Linked DNA regions of Callithrix jacchus. The protein of the gene in region 1 interacts with the protein of each later gene in a biochemical or structural test. Links are inferred from orthologs where the notes say so. Each region holds a gene or a part of one and is shown in the gene's direction. Other genes may lie near its edges. The genes, in order: LRRK2, RAB8A, GAK, RAB5B, MBP, MAP2K6 and EIF4EBP1.

Evidence for each region.
Region 2: of the proteins of LRRK2 (region 1) and RAB8A, one has a biochemical effect on the other in vitro, tested with the Homo sapiens proteins (2 studies listed by IntAct). The link is inferred for Callithrix jacchus from reciprocal best matches to the Homo sapiens genes LRRK2 and RAB8A.
Region 3: the proteins of LRRK2 (region 1) and GAK interact on a protein array, tested with the Homo sapiens proteins (3 studies listed by BioGRID and IntAct, with this or other methods). The link is inferred for Callithrix jacchus from reciprocal best matches to the Homo sapiens genes LRRK2 and GAK.
Region 4: of the proteins of LRRK2 (region 1) and RAB5B, one has a biochemical effect on the other in vitro, tested with the Homo sapiens proteins (2 studies listed by IntAct). The link is inferred for Callithrix jacchus from reciprocal best matches to the Homo sapiens genes LRRK2 and RAB5B.
Region 5: of the proteins of LRRK2 (region 1) and MBP, one has a biochemical effect on the other in vitro, tested with the Homo sapiens proteins (6 studies listed by BioGRID). The link is inferred for Callithrix jacchus from reciprocal best matches to the Homo sapiens genes LRRK2 and MBP.
Region 6: of the proteins of LRRK2 (region 1) and MAP2K6, one has a biochemical effect on the other in vitro, tested with the Homo sapiens proteins (2 studies listed by BioGRID). The link is inferred for Callithrix jacchus from reciprocal best matches to the Homo sapiens genes LRRK2 and MAP2K6.
Region 7: of the proteins of LRRK2 (region 1) and EIF4EBP1, one has a biochemical effect on the other in vitro, tested with the Homo sapiens proteins (3 studies listed by BioGRID). The link is inferred for Callithrix jacchus from reciprocal best matches to the Homo sapiens genes LRRK2 and EIF4EBP1.

The regions. Positions count from the first base shown.
Region 1 is NC_133510.1:35,484,464-35,488,169, reverse strand, and holds part of LRRK2 (leucine-rich repeat serine/threonine-protein kinase 2), read left to right. Parts: intron 1-1,017; coding exon 1,018-1,127; intron 1,128-3,706. UniProt on the Homo sapiens protein: Serine/threonine-protein kinase which phosphorylates a broad range of proteins involved in multiple processes such as neuronal plasticity, innate immunity, autophagy, and vesicle trafficking.
Region 2 is NC_133523.1:14,726,592-14,730,778, forward strand, and holds the start of RAB8A (ras-related protein Rab-8A), read left to right. Parts: upstream 1-1,300; 5' UTR 1,301-1,314; coding exon 1,315-1,438; intron 1,439-4,187. UniProt on the Homo sapiens protein: The small GTPases Rab are key regulators of intracellular membrane trafficking, from the formation of transport vesicles to their fusion with membranes.
Region 3 is NC_133504.1:192,270,953-192,275,348, forward strand, and holds the start of GAK (cyclin-G-associated kinase), read left to right. Parts: upstream 1-1,395; 5' UTR 1,396-1,512; coding exon 1,513-1,657; intron 1,658-2,348; exon of another isoform or gene 2,349-2,608; intron 2,609-4,396. UniProt on the Homo sapiens protein: Associates with cyclin G and CDK5. Seems to act as an auxilin homolog that is involved in the uncoating of clathrin-coated vesicles by Hsc70 in non-neuronal cells. Expression oscillates slightly during the cell cycle, peaking at G1.
Region 4 is NC_133510.1:63,686,552-63,690,257, reverse strand, and holds part of RAB5B (ras-related protein Rab-5B), read left to right. Parts: coding exon 1-75; intron 76-3,183; coding exon 3,184-3,335; intron 3,336-3,607; coding exon 3,608-3,706. UniProt on the Homo sapiens protein: The small GTPases Rab are key regulators of intracellular membrane trafficking, from the formation of transport vesicles to their fusion with membranes.
Region 5 is NC_133514.1:119,560,806-119,565,097, reverse strand, and holds the start of MBP (myelin basic protein), read left to right. Parts: upstream 1-1,430; 5' UTR 1,431-1,614; intron 1,615-4,292. UniProt on the Homo sapiens protein: The classic group of MBP isoforms (isoform 4-isoform 14) are with PLP the most abundant protein components of the myelin membrane in the CNS. They have a role in both its formation and stabilization.
Region 6 is NC_133506.1:125,528,463-125,532,168, forward strand, and holds part of MAP2K6 (dual specificity mitogen-activated protein kinase kinase 6), read left to right. Parts: intron 1-1,312; coding exon 1,313-1,432; intron 1,433-2,573; coding exon 2,574-2,690; intron 2,691-3,352; coding exon 3,353-3,404; intron 3,405-3,706. UniProt on the Homo sapiens protein: Dual specificity protein kinase which acts as an essential component of the MAP kinase signal transduction pathway.
Region 7 is NC_133514.1:38,881,732-38,885,869, forward strand, and holds the start of EIF4EBP1 (eukaryotic translation initiation factor 4E-binding protein 1), read left to right. Parts: upstream 1-1,241; 5' UTR 1,242-1,303; coding exon 1,304-1,448; intron 1,449-4,138. UniProt on the Homo sapiens protein: Repressor of translation initiation that regulates EIF4E activity by preventing its assembly into the eIF4F complex: hypophosphorylated form competes with EIF4G1/EIF4G3 and strongly binds to EIF4E, leading to repress translation.

The DNA.
Region 1 (3,706 bases):
ACCTTATCAATTAATTCTAGAGAAAGCTAGAGGGAGCCATTGAGGAGTTCTACCTCCTGTCTACATTATACAGCCTTTATCTTTTTCTCCTACCAGATGTAGTTTCAATTGCTTAAAGTGCCATATTTATTGCCTCTATTAGTCCAGCTTCATTACTTGGGGAGCAGCCATTTAAAATTGCTATTAAAATCTCCAACATCCCCTAATCCTTCATTCTAAGCCACTTCATTTTTTTATATAACTAAAATTTAAATATGTGGAGGAAATTCTGTCAGGTGGATATGACTTAAAACTTATTAAGGGCCGGGTGTGGAGGCTCATGCCTCTAATTCCAGCACTTTGAGAGGCCAAATCAGGAGGACTGCTTGAGCACAGGAGTTTAAGACCAGCCTGGGCAACATAGGAATACCCCTGTCTTCACAAAAAATAAAAACAATTAGCTGGGTGTGGTGGCACATACCTGCAGTCCCAGCTACTTGGGAGGCTGAGGTAGGAGGATCACTCGAGGCCAGGAGTTCTAGGCTGCAGTGATCTATGATTGTGCCATTGCAATACACTCTGGGTGACAGAGTGAGACTCTATCTCAAAACCAAAACCAAAACTGAAAACAAAAAACCAAGAAAAAAAAGTACTAAGGATTCTATAGCCATTCTTGCACTTAATAAACTTGGCACAATCTCTAAAACTTTTTTTTTATACTTTATTTTATTTTGCCTTATTTAGACAGTAGGCATGTCTATGTCCTTCTTAATTTAGAAACGTTATGTATTTTGTATGCCCTTCTGGTATGATTTTTGGAGAAAGGTGTATCCTAAGGATATGGCTTGCTTTTGTTTCTTGGTAAGCATTTTAGGATATCATTTCGTTTTATGACAATTATTTACAAGTGAGATAAGCATCTATTATTTACAAGTGAGATAAGCATCTATTTCACTAAGAATGAAGAGATTCACAATTGACTGGGTATGTTCTATGAACATTCTTTAAAAAGTGAATATATGTCTTTCTTGTTTTCAGGTGGGTTGGTCACTTTTATGCAAATTAATAGAAATCTGTCCAGGTACAATGCAAAGCTTAATGGGACCCCAGGATGTTGGAAATGATTGGGAATTCCTTGGTGTTCACCAGTAAGTATGATAGATATGTAAAAACAAACTGCCTTGAATATTTATCTATACTCACAGCAACCTTCCCTTGATACATTGTATTTGCAATTCAAGGCTACTCTTGTTAAATTCTTTAAAATACAGATATTTTTCCTTGAGTCAATGACTTGCATTTATAGAGAGCTTTAAACTCGGAAGTTTGATTTAGAAAGGTAACATGTCAGGAGTTATTATTTTATTAATATAATCATACAGTTAATTATACTGTATGATTTATACGTAGATTTTTTCTTGTTTTTTGAGACAGAGTCTCGGTCTGTCACCAGGCCAGTGCAGTGGCATGATCTTAGCTCACTGCAACCTCTGCCTCCCAGGTTCAAGGTATACCCTTGCCTCAGTCTCCCAAGTAGCTGGGACTACAGGCGTGGGCTACCACGCCCAGCTAATTTTTTTGTATTTTAGTAGAGACAGTGTTTCACCATGTTGGCCAGGATGGTCTTGGTCTCCTGACCTCGTGATCTGCCCCCCTCGGCCTCCCAAAGTGCTGGGATTACAGGTGTGAGCCACTGTGCTGGGCCAAGTTGTAGAGTTTTGATGAGTACTTTTGAATTCAAACCATGAAGACAGTTTGCTTTTTAATAATAGAACTGATACAAACCACTAGTTCTTAAAAAAAATGGGAACTGAGAAAAGTTAGTTCTGTAAGCAGTAATTTGAAAGTTGATGTTCTACCATCTTTAAATAGTACATTTATATGTTCATATATATACATTGAGTTTAAACTATGGGTTTCAAAAAGAGGAAATTACCTTTCAGCACATCTGCAGCCAAATCTTGATGGCAATTTTACCAGCTATGTTTTTGCAGTTTGCAGCATAATGTCTTCTTAGATGAGATTACTGCCTTAGCCATAATTAATTAAGAAAATGTTTTCTGGAGAATATGTTTCCAGGAAAATACATTTTGGATAGCTTTGTTTCTTGACAGTTAAAATATCTTCTCAGCTACTCAGAAGGCTGAGGCAGGAGAATCACTTGAACCTGGGAGGCGGAGGATGCAGTGAGCTGAGATTACACCACTGCACTCCAGCGTGGGTGACAGAGTGAGACTCTCAAAAACAAACAAACAAAAAACCTTCTGTTATTAACTTTAAATCTTTTTTATACTGAATGTGACTTTTCTTTACCACAGTAAAGGAAATTGTGAATATTTCTGGCTTCCAGTGGTATATGGTTTATGAAAATTTAATTTATGTAAACCTTTTACATGTTTGTATTGCTAATCAGTATCAAGTGGTGCTGTAAATTTAGATGAATTAGAGCTGTGCATTTGTCCATAAGTGAACATATCTGTGCCTATGTATTTTCCCTTATTTGATAAATGTGTTACTCTTCTTGTTTTTAGCACATAAAGGATGTGTTTTGGAAAGAGCATATTTACAATTAATTGGAGTTCTCCTCTCTGATCTAACGTCTGTAATTCTATGTGTCAGTTCTAAAGTGTACAGCATTTGATGAGGAATTACTCAAAATATACCAGTATTTAGGAATTGTAACTTTAAGTGTCCCTTGATTTGGCTGAGAATTTCCAAGATGTCAAAATGAGCCAACCTATAGCCCCAGGGAGTGTTTGGAAAACTCATCTAGTCATATTCCTGTACAAACCAACTGTTCAAATTAAATTACATAAATGTTTATGTAGGAGATTTCATTCACTCACTTTGTTCATTCAGTCATTCATCTTCTATTAATTGAATGTTTTTTAAGCCCTCCTCTAGGGCAGAAACAATGCAGTTGAGAAGAAGATAGACACACTGCTCTCTCCAGTGGAGTGTATTAGAGCACTCCCAGCAAAAATTGATTGTAAAACATATTTCTCTTTTTGCAAAGTCTTTTTCCATCCAAAGACTTCCCAGTACTGAAGACAAATTTCTTCTGTGGTTACAAAGTCAGAAATAGTGGGAATGGTATAGGGAGAGGTAACGGCAGGGTGAGTAGGAGGAAGGCTGGCAGAGAATTGAAGACCAACTTCATTTAGTTCCTGCAATTGCCAAATGAAGATTATTCAGCTTTTCTTGAATACATACAAAGTTCTAGATGTGGCCAGTTCAGTGTTCTCCCAACGATGTAAAGCCAAACAATGCTGTGCAGGAATAGACTAGAGATTATCTTTTGGAATTTATAACTTAGGGATTAAAATTTCATGAATTGGAACTAACTAAACATTATTGATATGCTGAGTTCACGTTCTGATATAATATAGTCTTAATTTCTCTTTTAAAAAATAGTAGCAATAAATAATTTAAATGTTCAAATGAATTCTTAATTTGTACACACAAACTAACCTCTTAATTATATCTCTCTATATTTTACTATATCAACATGTCTAAGATAATTTATAAATTTACACCACATATAACAATGGCCTTGCTCTCTTGATGAATATAAGGCTTCATAATCTCTTGAATATGGAGTTGGATGAAAATAGTGAATCTTAATATTTGAATTTGAATATTTATTGGAAAATAAGTAGTGCTTCTAACCTTTGAAATGAGACACGTAATAGTTCCCTGTTGATTTTTTAACTTTATTGAAGTATAG
Region 2 (4,187 bases), on another chromosome or scaffold:
AGGCTAAAGGGATCCTCCCACCTTAGCCTCCTGAGTAGTTGGGACTACAAGCATGCAATACCACACCTGGCTAATTTTTTTTAAGTTTTTTTGTTTTGTTTTTTTTTTTGAAAGAGTCTCGCTCTGTCACCCAAGCTGGAATGCAGTGGTCTCGAACTCCTGACCTCAAGTGATCTGCCTGCCTCAGCTCCCAAACTGCTGGGATTACAGGCATGAGCCACCAGACCCGGCTGCAAGCCCGATTTTCCTAATGTATCCCTCCTTTTCTTTTTTCGAGTGTCTCGCTCTGTCGCCCAGGCTGGAGTGCAGTGGGGCAATCAAGGCTAGTGGAGCCTCAATCTCCTGGCCTCAAGCGATCCTCCGCCTCGGCCTCCAGAAGCGCTATGATCACAGGCGGAAGCCACCGCGACGGTCTGTTTTTTCAATGTTGAGAGGACCACCAGACACAGAACCGCCGACCCTAGATAGGACCCAGCATCCTCACTGCCCTAACCCGCAAGGCTGGCCCGGACAACCCCTAAGGCGGCCGAGGGCGGGCCCTGAGGGGGACGGCGCGCGCCTTGGGGCACAGCTCGTGGCGGTGACGCCGCTCAGGTGGCGGAGAGCTTGGGTATCTCTAAGCAGGTTGCCAAGCCACAGCCGAGACCTCGGATCTCGCCTCGGGGGTCACTTTTCGATTATACAGCGCTTCCTCTCTCCTTCCTCCCTCGGCTCACGCTGCCCCGGCAGACCACAGACGTATAAAAAAGCTCTTCAGTCCTTTCCCGCGCTCGCTTCGGCGCCTACTGAGGCTGCGCGAATTGTGAGGGCGAGACCCAGAGATACCCTCCCCAACTATGCGCGTGCGCCCTCTGCTGGCGCCTAACGGACCTCCGGGTGCGCGTGCGCACGCACCCCAAGCCCCGCCCACAGACTGTCGGCGCGCGAGCCGTTGGCGCTGCTCGCTGCTTTCCCTCTCCCATTTTGGGGCGGGGCCGGGCCGCCGAGTCTGTGGTGGAGGCAGGGGCCACATAATGCCACGCCCCCGTCTCGTCCCCCTTTGAAGCCCCTCGACTCTTTACTGCTGGTCAATCAGAGCCCGTCCTCATATCAGTGCTGGCCAATGGGAGGTACGCTCGGGCTGCTTCCGGCTCCGCGCTACGCTCGCCCCCTCCCCAGGTCTCCCCGCGGCGGGCGGGACTCAGGGGCGAGTGTCGGCCGCGGTGACACGCTGCGGGCCTGGAGCCAATAAGGGGCGGGCTCGGCGCTGATGGACGGGGCTGGTGGCCAGTGGATAGGCGCTAGCTGCACTTCCTGTCGGGGAGAGAGTGTAATATGGCGAAGACCTACGATTACCTGTTCAAGCTGCTGCTGATCGGGGACTCGGGGGTGGGGAAGACCTGTGTCCTGTTCCGCTTCTCCGAGGACGCCTTCAACTCCACGTTTATCTCCACCATAGGTAGCGGGATCCGGGAGTGGCTAGGGGCGCCGGAGGCCCGGGCTGGGCGCGCCCCTGAGGGGCTGGGGCTGAGAAATCTACCCTGCTGGGCGGGCCGAGGGCTCTGAGAGGGTCGAAGGGAGAAGAGCAGCCGCCTGCACCGCCGTTTCGGGGTTCATGGGCCGTGGCGGGGGAGACCAGGTGCCCATTTTGCAGATGGGGTGACTGAGGCTCCCATCCTCAGCCCGCTCGTTAGGGAGTGTTATGTCCTGGGCAGGCGTCTTCGCACCCGTCCTTTCGGTCTGTCCTAGCAGCAGCCCTCGAAGCGGTTCTTTTGCGGTTCCTGTCTTACAGAGGTGGAAACTGAGTCATGAGGAATTGGCTGTGGGAAAAAGACGGTGACATGTCGCCTTAATGAGCAATTGCTATGTGCCAAGTCCTTCACGTGCATTTCCACACTCTAGTTTCGGTGTTTTAAGTGCTGTTATGAGCCCGTCTCACAGATGAGTAATTTGAGGCTCAGGGAGGGCGTGGGACTTATCCAAGGCCACACAGTCTGCAGGTGGTGAGAATGGGATTTAATGGAATTTAATCCTGGCTGTGTCTCACCCCAAAACTCGAGGCTTAGCTCTTCTAGAGAGTTAGCACCACACACCCCTGGCTGATGACAAACTCAGTTAATGCACCTTGGAGCCGGGACTCTAACTCACACCATTCCTCCTCTTCTCTGGAGCATCCAGAGGTTGAGTCCCTCTCCTTGCCATGTTTTCCCCCATAAGTGTATTTTCCTCTAGAAGAAATGATAAGAGGAGTCAGGACCTTTTCCCTGCCTGCCTTTTATCCTGCTCCAGGATGACAGCAATGGCAAGTGACAGTGCTGCCTGCCCTGGGACCTGTCATCCCCAAGAAGATGCAAGATAAAACCCTCAATGAGAAACTAAATCAGCCACTGCCACAGACAGCCTTGACTTCCCTATCAAAGGGCCCAGGACACCGGTTGTCAATTTAGAACAGCTTTTCCCGTAGGGCCAGCCCACATCGTGGTTGAACAAAATTGGCTTGTTGTGATGTCTCAGTTGTGATGTCCACAGAAGTAGAGTTGACCTCTCTCAGCGCCACAGAAGCAGTCCTGGCCCACGATGAAAAGGTTAGACCTGGGAGTAACACCGATCAGAGTGGCCTGTGAGCTCTGCAGCCCTGCTAGGGATGGGGATAGTGAGGGAACGGTCACTAAGTCAAGGAGTTTATTCAAAGTCAAGAAAACATAGAGAATGGCCTTTGCTTTATGTGTGACTTCAACAGAATCGTGTTATCTCCCTAAATCTCATGATAATGTGCCAATTCCATTCTTGCCCCCCTCGAGGAGCTGCACTTTATGAAACAGTTATATGCCAGATGTAAAGTAGAGAGAATTAACTGGAAATCATCATGTCTGGTTCCTAGTTGCTGCTGGCCCTTGAACGTGCACTACCCCTCTCTGACCCCTGCTGTCTTCAGAGCAGGAGTGACGCTGTCTGCCTGGGCTAGTGCCCTGGTGGTTGAGGACTAGAATTAGACAATAAGGGGTTGTCATCACAACCAGAGGCCATCTAGAGAAAACAAATGAATGGCTCCTGTGGTGACAGCTTCCACCCTCTGAAGACAGATGTTTCTGAATTCTTCCCCCTCCCCCACTCCAAGGCCAAGCTTTAGGGTAACCCTTGTGCCCCAGCCAATCAAAAAGTGGCTTTAATTCAGCCTGGACGACAGGGCAAAACCCCATCTCTGCAAAAAATCAAATGAAATTAGCTAGGCATAGTGGCTCACCCATGTAGACCCAGCCACTTAGGAGGCTTAGGTGGGAGGGTGGATTGAGCGCAGGAGGTCAAGGTGCGGTGAGCTCTGATGGCGCCACTGCACTCCAGCCTGGGCAACAGAGCGAGACCCTGTCTCAAAAAAAAAGAATACAACTGTGGGCAGACTGTGGCTTGCATTTACCCAGTTCCCAGTTTCCTAGCCTCAGCACCTTCCCCTCAAACCCCCTCTTTAGAGTTACTTTAAAGCTTTAAAGAGGCCATCTTCCATTTGCAGATGAGGATATGACTTGGTGAAAGTTAACCTAGCAAGGTGACCCCAAGATCCCTCCCTCCCACCCCAGCGTTCCGCTCCTTCCATTTGTAGCCTTCTGTCTTCTAGGAAAGTCTAATTCACCGTGACCTTGAAGTTCAGGCCTCATAATTCTTAGGTCTCATAAAGTTTGCACTTCCTAATTAAATTTGGCGTGTTAATAAAACCCAGCAGGAGTGTAGGGCAGAGCGCTACTGTGGAGCTTAGCCAACCTAACAGTGCTCCTTGATTTTGTGTGTCCCTGTGCACGCATGGCAGGAGGTGGGGTATGCTTTAGGAAGCCTAGGCACACTGGGCTGTCTAATCCTGAAGCAGAATCTCTCAATGCTTAAAGACAATTCCATAAATTAGCCAGACGTGGTGGCACTTGCCTATAGTCCCAGCTACTCGTGAGGCTGAGGCAGGAGAATCGCTTGAACCCAGGGGGCAGAAGTTGCAGTGAGCCGAGATTGTGCCACTGCACTCCAGCCTGGGCAACAGAGCGAGACTGTCTCAAAAAAAAAAAAAAAAAGCGATTCCGTGTTGGCTGAGGGCACCTCTGGGTTTTCTTTATAGACCAAGGATTGAGTGGCTGTTCATTTTCTGCCACTCAGTCCTTAACATTTTGCCAAAAGTAACATATCGCCAAAATCTATTCTCAGAAGCCCCATCGATCATTTTGTGG
Region 3 (4,396 bases), on another chromosome or scaffold:
CAATGAGCTGAGCCTATTGTCTTTTAATGATAAAGATAACAGATGTCAGCTTCTGGGACAGGTAAGATGCTGATTTGAGCTTTATAATCCATTTTTGAGTTTGAGAACAAAGACTCTACGCAAAGGTCTGCAACCTCAAATGACTATAGGGACCAGGCAGGTGACATACACGAGCCAAGCCAGCCAGGCAAATGACTGCGTCTTACCTGAAGGGACCGCTCTGGGTAACTGGTAACACACGTGATTTGGGGTCCAATATTGATAGGTTTGATTTTTCTACAGAAGCTGAAAAACCAGATTTTTAACGTTTAGGCCTTTCAGGTTTTTTTGTTGGTTTTTTTTGAGGCGGAGTCTCACTCTGCTGCCCAGGCTGGAGTGCAGTGGTGTGATCTCAATCTTGGCTCAATGACTGCAACCTCCACCTCCCGGGTTCAAGCGATTCTCCTGCCTCAGCCTCCGAATAGCTGAGATTACAGGCGTGAGCCACCGCGCCCGGTCTTTAAATGATAGCAACGAATTCACGTCCCGCTATCCACCCCCAACCCTCAAACACTGCTTGGGGCAAAAACTAAAAATGCATTTTCCGTGAGCCATTCCCTTATTACCCTATAAGGAAAGCCACCTTTTCATGTTGGGCGCTACGAACCCTTCCGAGTGGTTCAAGAGGACCCGCTTTTTGTCTTGGAAAAGGTGAGGGTGCGAACGAACCCTGAGGGTGACAGGGCAGCCTCTGCAGGGTGCGGTTGCCCAGAACCAAGGTTTTCTGGCCCCCGGCTCCCATGACTGGACGCTGCCCCAGCCCAGGCTCGGGCCCTCTGCTCGGAAGACGGGGGAGCGCAGCAGCCTTTCACCTGCAAACTGCCGCCCGGCTGCCGGGAGGGGGCCGCCAACCTTACTCGCTAAGCGTCACAGGAAACGCCGACCTCCAGAAGACAAGAACCAAGTATTTACTGAAGGCTGAACGGACGCTAACTCCGTGCTCCTCAGCCAGCTGAGAGAAGAACGCGCGAACCCATTTTTCTCCCATTGCTAACAGCAAGAGGGAAGCGGACTCCACCCGCTTGTGAGGCGCTTAAACCGGACACGGCCGAGAGGAGCCTCCCGCAAAACAGACCATGTGGGGAACGGTACCAGGAGCTGGGATGCGGCGCCGAACTACCTGGGCGGGAATCGCCCCGGCAACTGCTCCGCGCACCTCCGCTTGAGTCAGGCCAGCCGGGCGCTTGACGGCAGGAAGTTCGTCACGAGGCCGGCGACGCCGCGCACGCTCTGTCTGCATCAGCTCTCTGCGTCTGCGCGCGCAGCCAGGAAGTGAGGCCGCAGCGGAGGGGATGGGGCTGGGCCGCGACGCCTCCTGTCGCGACGCGCCCTCACGCGCGCCTACGTCACGGCGTCGGGGCGGAAGATGGTGCCGCTCGGGGCCGGCGGTTGCTGAGCGGACCCGGAGAGCGAGGCAGCTGGAGCCGGAGCCCGATCACTCCGGGTACCGCGGGGTGCGGCGCTGCCACCGCCATGTCGCTGCTGCAGTCGGCGCTCGACTTCTTGGCGGGCCCAGGCTCCCTGGGCGGCGCTTCCGGCCGCGACCACAGTGACTTCGTGGGGCAGACGGTGGAACTGGGCGAGCTGCGGCTGCGGGTGCGGCGGGTTCTGGCCGAAGGTGAGGCCCCGGGTCGGCAGCGCGGGTGCTGGCGCGGAGTGTCGTCTCCCGAACGCTGCGGGCAGCGTCAGCCCGGAGTGGAAGGGCGTGGGTCGGGGCTGGGGAGGGTCCCAGCGGGGGTCGTGGGTCAGGGTCGGCCAGGGGAGGGTCTCTGCCGGGGGCGAGGGTCACAGTGGGGCGTGGGTCCGTGCCTGCTGGTGGTGATTGCGGAGGGCGAGGCTGGGTTCGGGTCGGGTACTTCTTGTCCTAGGAGTAGGGTCAAGTTGGAGCAAGGCCTGGGGCTCGGGGACCCCCCTCAGGGTGGGTGGGGGAAGATGTTACAGTGAGGATGGTGGCAGGCAGGGAGCTTGGGTGGGGGCCTTAGCGGAGGCTGAGGGAGGGTGCCTAGAAGGCCAACAGCTGGAGTCAGGAGGTGAGCGAGCCGGAGGGGGGTTTAAGCCTTGGCCTGTTGCCTGACATCTAGGGTTATTGGGCAGGCAGGGACAGGGCTGGACTTTGGAGGTCCGGGCTGGTTCTTCTAGAGTCCAGGGAGCTTCAGAGTTGGTGGTTGCAGAAGCGTGGCAGGTAGTTGCGGTCGTAGCCTGGGGTTGGGTTGCTGAGGGTAGACAGGGCTGTGTCTCGTGATGTCGTGATGTCGTGATCCCGTGATCCCTTCTGAGCACCTCAGTGTTTCTCTTCCCCGTGTGATTACATGTGTAGCACGGGAAGCAGAGCTAGTAGTTGTGACCAGGTCGCTCAGCTTAAGTACTCTTGAGCCAGTCTCCAGTCAGTTTCGTTTCTGCACGCCATTTCTAGCTTCCTGAATGTTCTCTCCGTCTGTCACACGGAATCCATCACCAGCGTCAGTCGGTCCCGTTCTCTCTTGTGGATCTTCCTTGCTTTTTTGTCCAGTGGTGCCTGGGAGTGTGTCGCGTTTCACTGGCTGAACACAGTTGACTTCGGTGCTGAAACGTAAGTCTATTCTGCTGTGTTGGCACAGGGAGAGGGAGCGAAGCGGCGCGTTAGCCCTCACCCGATCCGTGGTACCTCTCAGGGCTGGAGGGTGAGCCTGTCCAGGTGGCCGCCCTGTGACCAGAGAGGAGACTGTCCCAAAATTCTGATCATCACAGGCTTGCAGAGACATTTTGACTGTAGTATTATCACACACTTTGTCTCCATTGTGGTCAGGACCAAACAGATTTCGGGTACGTTTTGGTAAGAAAGCTCTAAGCTCTTCTTTCAGAGGTGCGGGCCGAAGTGTGATATTCTTTCACATCTGTTAGAAGGCAGATTTCCCCCAGATCAACTCATTTATTTTGGAAATACTAGGTAGTCATCTTCATTCTTTAAGAAATCCGTAATGGACAGGACTTGGTTTCTGGAACTTCAGACTTGTGCTCTGGGGTGGAGAGACGAGGCAGCATGGGGACAGATCCTTGGAGGTTGTACAGACAGGGTGACCTCCGGGAAGGGGCCAAGCAGATGATGGCATGGATGGGGAGGGAGGGTGGAGAATGCACCCTCACTGGGGCCTGGAGAAGATTCATGTAAAGAAAGAAGCTTGTGGGTCATTTAGCGCCCAGGAAGAAGAACAAGGAAATGTGGGCGGCCGCTGAGGTTGTGCAAAAGAACTTGTTTCCCTTTGCTATCTAGGCGAGTCAGGAGATAAAAATAACCAATGCCATTCGGAGCTGTAGATTTCCTCCTTGTAAACTTAACAGGTGGCTTGCAACCTCCTGAGTACTTTGAAGGCTCTTTGAACTGAAACAGGGTGTGAAAATGGAATGATTTTAATTTACATAAACATATTTAAATAAGTTTTGTCTGGACAGCAACCTCAGAACATACGCTGTGGGAATTAGGCTGTCTTATGTAAACATGGCCATGGCCCCTGATCGAACGCTTGAGTACAGATGTTTGCAATGTCAGAATTTTTCAGGTTTCAGAGTGATCATTGCAGCATATAACCCTGTATATCATGGGATACTCCCAGAGGCGCTGGGAAAGTATTCTGTAATTGAAGACATTAGTACTTCTGTAATTAAATGAATAAATATTCTCACTGTGGGATAATTAAAGTCTGTAATTAGCCCTGTATCAGTTCATGTCAGGTTTTATCCCAAATGAGGTTATGATAGATTTGCTGTCAGATGAGTTTAAGAAAAAATGGTTTGCATATCTTTTAGGAATTTGGACTTGTGGTGTGAATGGGTTTTTAGGCAGAACTGTGGAACCAGATACCTTTCTAACTTCTTCAGATTTGTTCTGTCATCCTCTTTTTTTTTTTTTTTTTTAAGAGATGAGATCTTACTCAGGATGTATTTGAACTGTGTTCTAGATCTTCCTACCTCAGCCTCCTGAGTAGCTGGGGTAACAGGCATGTGCCACTGCACCTGGCTAGTTGTTTTTTTTTTTTTTTTTTTTTTTTGAGTTGGAGTTTCACTCTTGTTGCCCAGGCTGGAGTGCAATGGCGAGATCTTGGCTCACAGCCTCCACCTCCCGGGTTCAAGCGATTCTCCGGCCTCAGCCTCCTGAGTAGCTGGGATTACAGGCACGTGCCACCACCACTGGGCTAAGTTTTTGTATTTTTAGTAGAGACGAGGTTTCACCATGTTGGCCAGGCTGGTCTTGAACTCCTGACCTCAGGTGATCTACCTGCCTTGACCTCCCAAAGTAGTGTGTGCCTGGCCTAGTCTTCCTTGTTTTAAAAGGCAGATTATCAGAAGCACCAACAGTGTCAGAGATGCCCAGGGTGAGTGT
Region 4 (3,706 bases), about 28 Mb from region 1:
CAGTGGGAAAGTCAAGCCTGGTATTACGTTTTGTCAAAGGGCAGTTCCACGAGTACCAGGAGAGCACCATTGGAGGTGAGTGCCTTGGGGTAAGAGGATATTCAATGCTTGGTAAGGCTTTTTTCTTTTTCTTTTCTTTTTTTGAGATGGAGTCTCACTCTGTCTCCCAGGCTGGAGTGCAGTGGCGATCTCAGCTCACTGCAACCTCCATCTCCCTGGTTCAAGTGATTATTGTGCCTCAGCCTCCCGAGTAGCTGGGATTATAGGTACACACCACCACAGCGCCTGGCTAATTTTTATATTTTTAGTGGAGAGGGGAATTCACCATGTTGGCCAGGCTGGTCTCAGGTGATCTGCCTGCCTTGGCCTCCCAAAGTGCTGGGATTATAGGTGTGAACCACTGCATCCAACCAGTAAGGCTTTTGAAAAGAGAACTAGGACCTCATTATGGAGCTGCCCCTCTTAGTCCTATTCTTTTCCCCAGGAATGGAAACCCTTTATAAAAACAGAGGCCAGGCCCAGTGGCTCACGTCTGTAATCCCAGCACTTTGGGAGGCCAAAGCAGGCAGACCACCTGAGGTCAGGAGTTCAAGACCAGCCTGGCCAACGTGGTGAAACCCTGTCTCTACTAAAAATACAAAAATTAGCTGGGTGTGGCAGCGGGTGCCTGTAATCCCAGCGACTCATGAGGCTGAGGCAGGAGAATCGCTTGAACCTGGGAGGCAGGCGTTATAGTGAGCCATTGTACTCCAGCTTGGGCATCAAGAGCAAAACTTTATCTCAAAAAATTAATATATAAAAACAAAGAAAAATAATTGCCATAATGCCAAAAAGCTGGTATATGTTCATCCTTTTGCTTCCTAGAAGAAACAGAGGTTGACTTTTGCACACCAAGAAAATCCATTTTTTTTATGTCTGTCTGCCTCTTCCTACTCTGTTTATTGTCTTAATACCAGTGAAGTTGAATGTCATCTTGAGCAGATAAAAGTTGGTTTGGAGCCAGGCACGGTGGCTCATGCCTGTAATCCCAGCACTTTGGGAGTCTGAGGCGGGCAGATCATGAGGTCGGGTTCGAGACCAGCCTGACCAAAATGGTGAAACCCCGTCTCTACTTAAAAATACAAAGATTAGCCGGGTGTGGTGGTGCCCACCTGTAATCCTGGGAGGCTGAAGCAGGAGAATTACTTGAACCTGGGAGGCGGAGGTTGTGGTGAGCTGAGAAGCATGCCATTGCACTCCAGCCTGGGCGACAGAGCGAGACTCTGTCTCAAAAAAAAAAAATTTGGTTTGGAGCAGTGATTCGTAATCAAGAATGTATCAGAATTATTTGGGGGAGCATTTTCAACCTATTCTTGCTGGGGCTAGACCCTAGACCTACTAATTAGTATTAGAGGTAGGTTGAGGTTGGTAGTGACAGCACATGCATGTTTTCGGAAAAGCTCCTTAGGTGATTCTCATCAAAGTATCTGGTAAAATAGGCCGGGCATGGTGGCTCACACCTGTAATCCCAGCTTTTTGGGAGGCCAAGGCAGGCCGATCGCTTGAAGCCAAGAGTTCAAGACCAGCCTAGTTAACATGGTGAAACCCCATCTCTACTAAAAAATACAAAAATTAGCTGGATGTGGTGGCATATGCCTATAATTCCAGCTACTCGGGAGGCTGAGGCAGGAGAATTGCTTGAACCCAGGAGGTGGAGGTTGCAGTGAGCCAAGATTGTGCCATTGTACTCCAGCCTGGGTGGCTAGAGTGAAACTCCATCTCAAAAGAAAAAAAAATTAGCTGGGCATGGTGGCACACACCTGTAATCCCAGCTACTTGGGAGGCTGAGGCAGGAGACTTGCTTGAACCCGTGAGGCAGAGATTGCAGTGAGCCAGAATCACACCACTGCACTCCAACATAGATGAAAGAAAACAAAAATGAGGTGAAAAAAAAATCTGATAAAATAGGAGCTGGAACTAATGCAAACTATAAAGGGTATCTGTCTTTCCCATCTTTGCTACCTTTTCCCAGCTACTACCCCAAAATAGGGTGCTAATTCAATAAAGCATCTTTTATGGGAACTTCTATATTATTCCTTCCCTTTTTACTTTTATTTATTTATTTTGAGATGGAGTCTTACTCTTGCCCAGGCTAGAATGCAATGGCATGACCTTGGCTCATTGCAACCTCTGCTTTTCAGGTTCAAGTGATTCTCGTGCCTCAGCCTACTGAGCACCTGGGATTATAGGCATGTGCCACCACCCCTGGCTAATTTTTGTATTTTTAATAGAGACAGGGTTTTGCTGTGTTGGCCAGGCTGGTTTCAAACTACTGATCACAGGTGATCCAGGTGATCCACCCACATTGGCCTCCCAAAGTGCTAGGATTACAAATGTGAGCCATCATGCCCAGCCTCTTTCCCCTTTTTATTAGTCATCTTAGAAATGTATTCCTGGACCTGCAGCAGATTATATGAAAAAGTAACAGCCAAATAATATTAATGATGGTACTTGCCATCAAGCTTTAAAATATTCTTATTCTTTTTTTTTTTTTTTTTTTGACACTGTGTCTCACTTTGTCACCCAGACTGGAGTGCAGTGGTATGATCTCTACTAACTGCAACTTCTGCTTCCCTAGTTCAAGCAATACTCCTGCCTCAGCCTCCCTAGTAGCTTGGATTACAGTTGTCCACCACCACGTCTGGTTAACTTTTGTGTTTTTAGTAGAGATAGGGTTTCACCATGTTGGCCAGGCTGGTCTTAAACTCCTGATCTCAAGGTCATCTGCCCACCTTGGCCTCCCAAAGTGCCGGGATTACAGGCATGAGCCACCGCACCCAGCCAATCTTCTAATTAATTCTTGATGTGACTTTTGTCTGAAGCTATTGTCTTTGTCATTTGTTATGCTCCTATTTTGGTTAGAAGGATGACTCATATAAGTGCGAGTTCTTCTATCCCTCTTAGTTTATGATGTACCCCCATTCCTTAGCCAGAGACATTTCTGGCAGGATGGACTTAGCCAAGGGCAGTCTTAATCGTGGTTCCAAGACTTACATGTAAGGAGAACTCAAAACCTTTTCCTATAGCTGAGTATCCTGCGGGGGTGACTGGTCTTAGAGTGAGGGTAGTTATATTTTGAAGTGGGGTATGTTCCCATTCATCCTCTCACTTACAGCATCTTCCCCTCCTTTCTCTTATCCATAGCGGCCTTCCTCACCCAGTCCGTTTGTTTAGATGACACAACAGTCAAGTTTGAGATCTGGGACACAGCTGGGCAGGAGCGATACCACAGCTTAGCCCCCATGTACTACAGGGGTGCCCAAGCTGCAATCGTGGTTTATGACATTACTAATCAGGTAAGTGAGTTAAGAGGACTGTCCTTGCTTATATTTAGAGGAATTAAATTAGATGGAGTGGGTGGGCAGAAAACATGTTCTTGAAATAGCAAATAAGAGTACAAATTATGCTTCCAAGTGCTAAGAAGACAGAGAAAATGAATTATCAGAGACCAGTGGTTTCAGTAAGGGAAGGCCACCTGAAAGAGGTGAATTTTGAGACTCATTTTAAAAGGTGATAGATATGGGTTGGCAGTTATTTCAGTCTACTCATTCTCTAAATGTTTTCCTAGGAAACCTTTGCCCGAGCGAAGACATGGGTGAAGGAACTACAGCGACAGGCCAGTCCTAGCATCGTTATTGCTCTAGCAGGGAACAAAGCTGACCTGGCC
Region 5 (4,292 bases), on another chromosome or scaffold:
ACGCTCCAGTGCCCAGAGCCCAGCTGCAGGGACATCAGCAGGCAGGAAGGTGGCTCCGCCTGTGGAGTCACGGAGATAAAGCCAAGAGATATTTTGGAGAAGAAAAGCTGTTTCTGATGTTAAAGCAGGTATCCAAAATAGGACCCAGTGTTCCAGCTTCCCGGCCTGGGCTTGAGTGACTTGAGCTGGGACCCGGGTGCACCTGCATTCACTGTCACCACCCGTGCTCCTAGGGCAGCTGTCCAGCCTCCCACACCCACTCGCTCATCCTTGACTTAAAGTGAGGTTGTGGGGACGGAAAAATCCGAGAAGCACACTTTACCTCTGACACCCTTTTCCCTGCCCCTTCTCACCTTCAGCCTCAAATTCCTAGAACCCTCCTGCCCTCTCCACTTGAAAATCTCTCCTGAGGAAAGGCCCAGACTAAATGCTTTGTACCATCGTCTAAATATTTCTCTTCAGTTAAGCAGCATTTGAACACAGTTGCTAAATCTTCCGGGTCTTCCGGGGAGGCTGGTTTTAGGCCGCAACCCCGACCCCCGCTGGAGCCGCCTCGCAGCGCGGCCCGGACAGCGCTCAGTCCTCTCCCTCACCTCCTGACGAACTGTGGGTCCCAGGCTGCCTCCGGAAGCCCCGGGTCCAGATCCCTGAGTGGGGGTGCAGGTCAGGAGGAATGCGGGGGCTCATTCGGGGACTCCCCACCTCCTCCTCCTCCTCCATCAGGTGACCGAGAATCCAGGGAAAGATCTCCCTGACCACCAACTGTGTGTGCAGGTCAGTTTTTCTGTTTAACAGTAGAGTGACGAAGACCACGACGCCTCCGTGCCGCGGGACCAGGCGGCTTCCCCGCACCTGGCGCGTTTGGCTGTCTTGTCCGCGCGGACTTCCTGCGCCCCTCCTGCAGGCGAAGGTGCGCTCCCGGCGCCCAGCGGAGCACCTGCCGGCCGCAGGTGGGCCTGGGCGGGGCTGCAGGGGAGGGAGGGCGCGCCTGGGAGGACCTGCCCGCTCCTCCCGCCTCCAGGGCGGGCTGACCCTCCTCCTGCAGGGTCGGGGCCGCGCCAAGTCCTTCAGCAGTTTCTGGGGTTTCCAGCCCCTGAGGACAAGGGGAGATGCGGCCTCGCTCCCCTCCGGCAAGGTCGGGGTCCGGGTGAGTTCGGAGGCCGAGCCACGGGGGAAGGGTCTCGGGCGAGGCTCCAGGCCGCCCCTTCTCCGAGGCCCGACCCTGAGCGTGAATCCCGTGCGACCCCCCCCCCCGGCTCCGAACTCCGCGTGGGCAAAGCGGGCCCGGGGGCCTCGGAGCTTCCCGGGAGGCCGCGTCGGGGGTGGGGGGACGGGCCCGGCGGGCTGGGCCTGTGTTTACCTGGCGCGCAGGAAGCCCGGGGAGGCGGGGCCGGGAGCGGAGTGCGCGCCCGTCCCTCGGAGCCGCCTTCAGTCTCCGCCGCCGCGCACCCGCGAGAAGCCGCCTCCCGCCCCGGCGGCCTAGGGCTCCCGACCCCGGAAGGCGGTGCAGGCTGTCTGGGGACCCCGCGAGCCGGCGCTTGAAGCCGGGACCTGCGCGCCCGGGCCTGGGACCCCGCGGCACCCCTCGGCCTCTGAGCAGCGAGCGCAGCGCCGGTGAGTGACCCTCGGGGGCGGGTGGGGGGCGGCTCTGGCGCCTTTGTCTCCGCGCCCCTCCGAGCGGGGACCGCGGAGACCTGGGCGGGTACCCGGGGCCGATCCCCGCGGGAGCCGTGGACTGAGAGTTGGGAACAGGAGCTGTCCCGGCGCCCGGACTCCGAGTCCCTTTCTCGGCCGAGAACGCGCAGGGGGAACCTGGGCAGTAGCGCAGGTGACCGGGCAGGTGGCAGCCGGGGGCCCCTGACCCGAACCCACGGCCCTGTCCCCGATCTCTACTGCGAGGGGGCGGGCGCGGGTGTAGACTCGGGTTTACTGCGCCGGGGTGGGATCCTGACAGGTGTCCAGGGTGGTCTTCAGCCAGGCCCGGCGTCCCGGGGTCGTAGAAACCGCTGGGCCTCGGGCCCCGGGGCTGAGGGGAGGAGTCTCGGGTGGGAGGGACGGCGGTCAGAAGCGGCCACTCAGGTGCGGAGAGGGTGCGGGCGGCGAGGGCGCGCTGGGGGGTCCTCCGGGCGCCTGCCAATCACGTCCCGGCTGCTCCCCCCCGAGGTGAAGCGCAGTTTCCCTCCGAACTCCGAGAGCGGCGGCGAGAGCCTGGGTTTGGGCTTCCGCCTTCTCGCGGCCTGTCTCGGGCTCCTCGGCTGGCCAGTCGCTGCGCCCACCTGGACCCACGTGCGCGCCCGCAGCTGCCGGTCCTCCCTCGCGGTGCTGAGCGCTGGGCTCGCGGGGCCGGGGTCTCCCCGGCTGCCCCTCCCGGGCCCGACGGCCTGTCCTGGGCCGGGGGCGTGGGGTGCGGGGTGCCCCCGAGGCCGGCGTATGTGACCGCGCAGTCATTTGCCGCCACCCTAGGTCTTCCCGGGCGCCGGGGGCAGCGCCTGTGCCCTTTCGCGTCCACCTGAACCCCCTGTTTCGGGAGGTGGAGTGGGGCTCGGGAAGGGGTTCAAGTGTCTTTAGGGATCCCTGTGCGACTCTGCCTGGAAACAGGCGCGTTCTGGTTCCTTGTTCCGTTTTCCGATTGCAACAACGTGAGAATCAACAAGTGCTCGGCTTCTCTGCGGGTGGGTGAGGGGCGCGTGGCTCGCCCGGCTTTGGGAGGGCGTGGACTTCGTTCCTGGGAGGTCTCTGCCTCATCTTGACCGCAGAACGCCCCGCCTGGAGAGAGAGCTTTTCAGAGGAAGGAAAGGTCAGGGAACAGCCAGTGTGTGTTTTGGACATTTTATTTGGTGAAGCTCCGGGGGATGGGTTAAGGAGGGTCACGCTCATGTTAGGGACCACATGGATGGAGTAGGGTCCTGAACTGAGCTCCCTGGCGGCCACCTCCAGCGATGGGTGCCTCCTTAGCCTCCTTAGCGGTTGGGACCCCGGGCTATGGATACGGCTCAGAGCCTGGAACCCAGCAGCCCTTCAGTAGAGGAGGGAAGGCCATGATCTGAAACCAGGCCGGCAGCCAGGGAGGGGATGCTCCCACGAGCCAAGGGATAAGGCACCACGCCAGAGGCTTTTTTTTTTTTTTTTTTTTTTTTATCAAGTGGGTTAAACAGAAACCTGAGTGAAAAGAATCCAGTTAAAAATGGTTGTAAATGCTGGAATAACTCTCAGGGAGTTAACTGTTCTCGAACAACCACCTCTGTTAACTCCGGGTTAAACAAAGCTATTCTGTTGTCATCTTCTTTGAAAACTCTCCAGAAGTATCGCAATTCTGCCCAGCGATAAGGAAGTGAAACATGCGTCACTTGATATAGATCTGGCAGCTCGTGGCTCCAGCTTGATTTGAAACGTCCGCTTTGAGTGTGGTGGGTCCCGGCTGTGGGCACTGATGAAAGGTGGCCACCGAACGCTGGGGGGAAAAGAGACCAGCCTTTCTCCTGACGTTTCTATTTCTGCCTGAATTTGTAAATGTTAATTGTAAGTTATTTTGTTTGACTTTTATCCCCAAGTTCTTTAAAAATACAGAAATTATCTGGGCGTGGTGGCAGGTGCCTTAATCCCAGCTACTTGGGAGGCTGAGATCTCTCGAACTTGGGAGGTGGAGGTTATAGTGAGCTGAGACCATGCCATTACACTCCAGCCTGTACAACAAGAGCAAAATTCTGTCTCAAAATAAAAAATAAAAAAAAGACATGCTTAAGATTAGCAGCTGCCTCTGTGCCTTTTCTGACCCCAGGGAGTGTTTATCGAGCACTTGCACATTGCCAGGCTCTCTTCTGAGAGCTGTTTGTCACCTCAGTTAACAGTTGTGATGGCCCTAGATACCCTCATTGGAGGTCACCGTGCTTTTCATATCTTCATTTTGACTGATGAGGAAGCAAGGCCCAGAGAGGTTAAGTTAGTCTAAGGGCACCCAGGAAGAGGCAGGATTCTGCCCAGGGAGTCTGCACCAGCGCCTCACTGCTGCTCTGCCCCGCTGTGGTGAACAGAATGCCTTGCAAAGGTGCTTATCATTCCTCCTTTTAAACTTCCACCCCTAATGATGAGTGGCGTGCACCCAGGGATGTTTCCTTTCAAGAATCATTTGACCAAAAGGTTCCTGTCATCCAACTTTGTTCATGATCCTCTCCTTAGCTTTCTTAGTTGCCAATGAAAAAGAAAGTATTCTAATTACTAATTACTCTTTTTTTTTTTTTTGGACGGTGTCTTGCTCTGTTGCCTAGGCTGGAGTGCGGTAGTGTAGTCTCAGC
Region 6 (3,706 bases), on another chromosome or scaffold:
AACAGAACAGATTATTTGCAGGGAAGAGTATTTTCCTCCAAAGGTATAGATAAGGCGTTTTTTTTTTTTTTTGGTATGAGTTGTATCTACTTTTTTTTTAACCCTTAAGTCTCCCTCCACCCATTCTTCCACCATTTTTAATTTTTACAAAACTACCATGTCAACATCACACTTAAAATTAATTAATAATACTAATCTGCAGTCCAAATGTACTTTCTTCAACATCACACAAAATTAATTAATGATACTAATCTGCAGTCCAAATGAAAATTTCCTTGATCATCTCAAAGTGTGTATGTGTGCTTTATCTTGTTGGATTTTCAAATCAGCATCCCAATGAAAGTTTACGTATTGCATTTGGCTGTTATGACTAATAAATCTCTTTTATTCTATATTTTGTTGCTTTTAAAGAATTGTCCCTGAAAATCAAGGACCCAGAATTGAGAGAGAAAATTGTCTCCATTTGTGAAAAAAGGAGGGTAAAATATATCTAGAGTAAATTTGCATAGTTTTTGAGCTATTAAATGAAGTTTAAAATCATTTCATATTATTGAGTAGATGCTGGGAGGATTGTAAAGAATTAACATCTCTAGTTGAATTAATAGATTTGGGCCATTGTTAGGAATGATCAGGTGACTTGGATACCTTTGCTTTTGAAGAATGGAAATACTTTTATCTTTTAGATTTTCCAGTCTGTTCTTCTGCTGACTTTTTGCTGTAGGCAAAAAGTTTGAAGGCCTAGTGTTATTGTATGTCTCCTATCATTTAGTGACATAATCATGTTTCTGTAAGTCTACATTTGCTAGTGTGACAGATTTCTCTCAGAAGCACTGGGATAGGAATGAATGGTTTCTTCATTTCTGTTGAATTCCTTCTATTTCCTATAGCTGTACCAATTCTCTTGCAGTTGCTGTTTGCTCCAAATACTCTTACATGTTCCCAAAGAAGAGCTTTTGGCTTTTTATTTTCTTAGGATCCCAGATAAACAGCAAAGTAATTAATACTATGACCTCTTTGCACTGAACAGACATGAGAGTAAACTAGATTGTTTCTGTAACTTGGAAATACTTTCCAAAACATTTTATCACCCTCTAAAACAGTATCAATTTGTTTCTTACCAGTACTATTCAGGAAATCAAATGAGTAACATTCTTTCTTATTTTCAAATAGCTAATTGCTTAGGGTGGATATTCACAATGTTGTTGCTAGAAGTAGTGTTATGAACCGTATTATTTTGATGGAACTCCTTCAGGTCCCTGCCTGCCTCATCATCAGAGTAGTAACCATAAATTTTCCATGCATTTCCATTCAGCGGATCCGAGCCACAGTAAATAGCCAGGAACAGAAAAGGCTACTGATGGATTTGGATATTTCCATGAGGACAGTGGACTGTCCATTCACTGTCACCTTTTATGGCGCACTCTTTCGGGAGGTAGGTGACCCTTCAATTCGAAGTTCAAGAAGAGCAGTAAATGAAAAAGAAGTTCCTTTGATCATGTACATGCCATGCACAATCATGGAGCTCTTTCTTGTTTGACACATCTTGTATAGCGGTGTTTACATGTGTGCAATGATGACATGCTCTGGGGCGCGGTTGGATTGAAATTATGGCTTTTTTTTTTTTGAAACAGTCTTGTTCTGTCACCCAGGCTGGAGTACAGTGGCGCAATCTCAGCTCACTACAGCCTTTGTCTCCTGGGTTCCAGTAATTCTCCTACCTTGGCCTCCTGGGAAGCTGGGATTACAGGCGTATGCCACCACACATGGCTAATTTTTGTATTTTTAGTAGAGATGGGGTTTTGCTATGTTGGCCAGGCTGGTCTCGAACTCCTGACCTCAGGTGATCCACCCTTCTCGACCTCCCAAAGTGCTAGGATTACAGGTGTGAGCCACCATACCCAGCCTACATTATGGTATTTTCAAATGTGATTAGCCTTTTTAAGAAGCTGAGATTCTCTTCTCCTTTCTTTCTTGTTTTGTTTATCTTGGCAGAACTTTCTATATTGCCTATAGACTGATTTGCAAAGATCCCTTATAATTTGAAATATTCTGTTCTTTTGAATGCTTTATGAGCTTCACCTAACCTGCTTGTGTACTATATAGACTTACTTTGATCTCTTTTCTCTACCTCTGTTTTTCACTTTATCATTATATGGATTATGAGGCTTTGCCTCATTAAAACCAGGTTTTTGACTGACTATTGCTGGTGCTTACTGTGGGAAATCCTACATGGAGTAGGCATCTAGAGCTAACTCCTAGAGAGTGGTATCAGTAAAGGCTTGGATTTCTGGGGTTGTATTGCTTATATTTGTTAGTAATTAGGTTCAATTTTCCGTTGAGGGGTAGGAGATCACATGCAGGTTCTGCTCGGCTACCTACTGGTTTTCTCTTTGGAGATAACCTTGTTTATTTGTAAATTCCTTTATGATCTTGACAGAAAACAATCTATTTCCCTGCAAAATTCAAAAACGAAATAGTTAATTTTTCAGGACAGGTGTTTACTGTTGTTTTTTTTTTTCTCCTTTCTCCCTTTTTCATCTTTTTAAACAATTCCTGGACCAATTGGTCTCCAGGGTGATGTGTGGATCTGCATGGAGCTCATGGATACATCACTAGATAAGTTCTACAAACAAGTTATTGATAAAGGCCAGACAATTCCAGAGGACATCTTAGGGAAAATAGCAGTTTCTGTGAGTACATTATGAGCCTTACTGCATAGATAATGTGGGAAATAAAGTTCCTATGTGTCTTTATACCTCAGTATAAAGAAATACTACCTGGACCACAGCTACTATTTGTACATGTTTGTTGAAGTTCATTGGTGGATGGATAAATACATGCTTTCCTTTCTGAGCACTGTGTAGAAGATTCTAGCACTGCTTTGGTTTGGCAGACTCTTAAGTTAAATAACTCTAAGTGGTGCATTCATCAGCTAGGACCACATTCCTGGTGTCTATATTCTGACATTAGTTTATTTTGATTTTCATTTATGGATTTTTAAAGTGTTCTCTTAAGACTAGTAGGCATCGAAGGAAGCAGAGGAAAATAAATAGAAAGAAGATCTGATACTTTTATGGCTCTTCAGGCTCAGGAGGGTGTAAAGAAAAAGAATGAGGGCAAGTGAACAAGACAGATGAGGGAGACATCCTCTCTGATATAAGATATAGTCCTCTCTGGTGGATGGAGTCCAATTTGTGTAACTTCCTGTGTATTTTCCTAGATAGGACCACCACTATTTAAGAAAATATCTCAATGGTAACCTAAAGCCAAGGAAAATAAACCTTGATATACTTAACTTTCAATTTCTTTCCAGGGATGTGATAAATGAATCTATCTTGTATTTCTCTTGCAGATTGTAAAAGCATTAGAACATTTACACAGTAAGCTGTCTGTCATTCATAGAGGTAAGCATCCATGAGCTGCCTTGGCTGTTCCTTTGATAAAGTTCATTTCTTCCACCTGGAGTCCCTCCCTACCCCAACCCCCCATGGATGGAAGTAGAATTGACTTCCAACTAAGGCAAGAGAAATACAGGGCTTTCCCTTATGATTGGATAGCAAACAATGTAAGTAGTATCCCTTATTGTGGCTGAGGACATAAGAAGAAGACATGATCTTCATATTACACCAAAATTGACTATAAACCCTTGTTAGCAAGCAGAGCTGTGGGAGTACATCTTTGGAAATTTTAGAGAACATGATAAAAA
Region 7 (4,138 bases), on another chromosome or scaffold:
TCGGACCTTGCCCTCCTTGGCCCATCCCAAAACTCCAATGGCCACTAGTTATCGTTCCAAAAAAACAACTCTAATCATGTCATTCCCCCGCTTAAAAGAGTTCTGATGTCTCCTGCCTCTCTAAGACAACGTCCAAGCACTTTGACATGATTTGAAAAACTCAACGACCTGACCCCAATTTCCTTTTTGAAAAATTATTACGTATTTTTTAGAGATAAGGTCTCTGTCCAAGGAGGAGTGTAGTGGTGTGATCACAGCTCACGGGAGCCTCCAACTTCTGGGCTCAAGCAATCCTCCAGCCTCAGCTTCCTAAGCAGCTGGGATTACAGGTGCATCACCCAATTTCCCTTTCGAACCGTCCTCTCTTCTTCACCCTCTTCCCCACAACATGTGCACACAATGATAGGAACTTCTCAAACCCAACAAGTTTTTCCATCCTCGGTCCTTCTTGCATTTTTCTCTCTCCCCTTGAACATCATCCATGCATGCATCCATTCATCCAGCAAAGAGTACCTACTAAACATCCGTCAATTCAACCAAGAAGTACCTACTAAACCTCAGGCAGTGGCGTGGGTATTGGACCCAATTCAGGGGCTATCGGGAAACCTTTTGGACAAACTATTACTCCTCCCCTACGCGTCCCCCCTCCCGGCCGCCCCCAACTCTAAATTTAGCTCCCAGGACGCTGCTGGTTGGTTCACTCCTCCCACCCCTTCTCTTCCTCTCTAAAGGCCAGGAGCGGAATTGTTAGTCCCTCCACACCCATCCCCATCAAGGTCAAGAAATTGAGGTGGGGTGAGCATGACCAGTCAATCCCACTTTCTCATCTGAGGAACTGAGGCAACGAACAGGGAGTGCCAAAGGGTACACCCGGCCTGAAGTCTTAATGCAGAAACCGGGCCTTCCTGCAGTGGGCCGGGTCAGCTCGGATCTCCGCGCGGTCCTGAGTCACCGCCCCCAACCCAGACAAGGATTAACATAGGCGAGCTATTCCGCCCGCCACCCAACCCGGGTCCCTGCCAGAGTGGCGCCGAGGGACCCGAGAGCGGAGGAGCAGTCGCTGGGGGGCGGTATGGAGGAGCCCGTGAGCAGGCGGGCGTGGATCGGGGGGCGGCAGGAGAATCCACGTGCAAGCAGCGGCCTGGAGCTGGGTGGGGCTGCGGCGCGGACTACAAATCCCAGGGGCGTGGGCCTGGAGAGGCGGAAGGGGCGTCCTGGGGCGGGGCGGGCCGGGGCGAGGCGGAGCGAGGCTGCAGGCGCGGGAGGGCAGGGAGAGGTTCGCGGTTGCAGCGCACAGGAGACCATGTCCGGGGGCAGCAGCTGCAGCCAGACCCCAAGCCGAGCCATCCCCGCCACTCGCCGGGTGGTGCTCGGCGACGGCGTGCAGCTCCCGCCCGGGGACTACAGTACGACCCCCGGAGGCACGCTCTTCAGCACCACCCCGGGAGGTAGGCGCTGGCTCGGGGACGCCGCGTGCCGGCTCCCGGGAGGGCGGGAGGATTGGGAATCGCGGATCGGACCGGGCGTCCAGGCTAAAGGGTGCTGTGGCTGGGAAGAACGGAGAAGGGGCGTCGGGGAGACAGCGAGGGTCATGGAAGTGACCGCCCGGCTGTCCTCCGAGTGCGTCGTCCAGACCGGAGCTGCAAACTGCCCCGTTCGTTTCCTCTTTCTGTTAGGTGTCAGACAGCTGACACCTAACTAACAAGCACGCCTCCAGGACTGCCACGTGCCGAGCTGTGCTGCCCCTTGTGGATGTTGGGGGCGCTCCCCAGGCGGGATAGGGCGGGGTCAGTGTGGCCCACGATCCAAGAAAGGCTCGGCCTGGTGTTTTTATGGGATGAGTTGGGATAAATTTATTATTTATCTGTTGGGATAAATGATTTCTACAGGGCCCTGATTTTTTCCCGAGGCACCCCTAGTTTTGCGTTGGACACTCGCGCTCTGACGGAGGTTTGGGTCTGCGGGTGCTCCCCTGCTCCAGCAGCACCTCCCGGGCACCTGTGGCACGTTCCCCATTTATGCAAGTGAGATCTCCGCGGAGGGGCCTGTCGCCACGGGCCGGGCTGTGCAGAAAAGCACGTTCTTCTGTCCGGGGGGAGGAGGAGGCACCGTGTGACCTCCCTGGGAGAGGATGAGGAAGAGGAAGCTGAGCTGGCACGGGTGGGGTGGACAGCCTCGGGCTGCCCTCAGGAACCTGGCATTCCCTCCCAGCCCCGGAGCCGCAGCGCACAGGCGCTGATGAAACCTACGCTCCTGTTTGCATGATGAAATAAATCCTCGTGGCTCACCACTTCGGTCCCATCCTTGCACTGCCCCCACTCCTTTTGCTCCTCTGCCTCCATCCTCCTCCACGCTGCTTTCCAAACTACTGGAAAACGCGACAGATCCCGGCGCTTGGCTCGGTGGCGGTGGGGGCCAAATGCTTATTTTCTCAGGCAGATTCTGCCCCACCGGCAGCAAGCACAGCCGGATCCGAGGTCCTCTGCCGTTCGATCCAAAACATACACTGTTAGAACGGTTAGGGATCTTGTCCAACTCTGCCGCCTGTTCTACAGAGCCAGGCACTGAGGCCTCAGAGCTGGAACACGTGTCCATTGTCACACCGTTTTCCCAGATTGGGCAAGAAATAGCAACCAGGCAGAGAAAGGAGGAATGCTTCCTCTTCTGTTAGAAATGATCCGAGGAGAAGCTTGCAGGCGCTCTTGTTGCCACTCCCGACTCATCCTCTTTCACTTGTAGTCCATGCTGTTCTCCTTTGTCTCTGTCACAATGGTCTACCAGGCCAATTCCTGACACTTTTGGAGTTCTTTCAACTGAGGGGGTAAGTGTCTGCTGGATTCGTTCAGGGTGGGCCCTGAGGCTGGCCTGAAGGAACAGGGAGCCTCTTTTTGCACCCTTTGTTGCTGGATTGTTGGGTCAAATTAGAAGCCAGGGATACTGTTTATAGGCACTTCTGGCCGAGGTACCAAGATTCATGCCTGTAATCCCAGCATTTTGGGGAGGAGCCAAGGCAGGAGAATTGCTTTAGGCCAGGAGTTCAAGACCAGCCTGGGCAACATAGTGAGATGCCATCTCTACAAAAAAAAAACAAACAACAACAAAAAGAATGTTGTCCTAGCTACTCCAGAGGCTGAGGCCAGAGGATCGCTTGAGGCCAGGAATTGGAGGCTGTGGTGAGCTATGATTGACCACTGCAGACCTTATCTCTAAAATAAATAATAAATGTAAAATATAGGAACTTTGAATCCACTTTTCACTTTGGATTGGGAAGTGGAGAGTAGTCAGGGGGCTGACAGCAAATCCCACTCACTTTGAAGGTCTTTAGCAGTAGCAGGAAGGGAGAAGGGGCTTCTGCATTGGGACATGGCATATGTTTCTGAGATTACTGGAAGAAGCTAGCAGTGCCAGGAACCTAAAGCCAGCTCACTCTTTGGGGCGGCCTGTGGAGCAGGTACAGCTCCCAGTCCCTAAGCCAGGGAAATCCGGCTTACTTCTACTAAAGTCAAGCAAGCCTGGTCAGCCTCGATTAGCCAAGGTGTGGACTCTTCCTCCAAAGCCCACCTTAGCCCACTTCTGCCAGGGCAGAGAAGCTGAAATGGTCACATCCTGGGACCCTTTGGCTCCAGACCAGAATACTGCCTCTCACTCTTCCAGGTGCATAAGGATAACTGGGGTCTTCATTTAAGGTATATTCTGATTCTGTAGGTGGGGGTGGGGACTAGATTCAGCATTTCTTTTCTTTCTTTCTTTCTTTTCTTTCTTCCTTCCTTCCTTTCTTTTTTTTTTTTTTTTTTGAGACAGGGTCTCCTCTGTCGCCCAGGCTGGAATGCTGTGGTGCGATCTTGGCTCACAGCAACCTCCACCTCCTGGGTTTAAGCGATCCTCCCACCTCACCTCCCTGATACCTGGGACAACAGGCACATGCCACCCATGCTGGCTAATTTTTGTATTTTTTGGTAGAGACGGATGTTACACCATGTTGGGCAGGCTGGTCTTCAACTTCTGACCTCAAGTGATCTGCCCGCCTCTGCCTCCCAAAGTGCTGGGATTACAGGCGTGAGTCACCATGCCCAGCCTAGAGTCAGCATTTCTAACTAGCTCTCAGTGAGTAGTGCACATACCACACTCTGAGTACTCA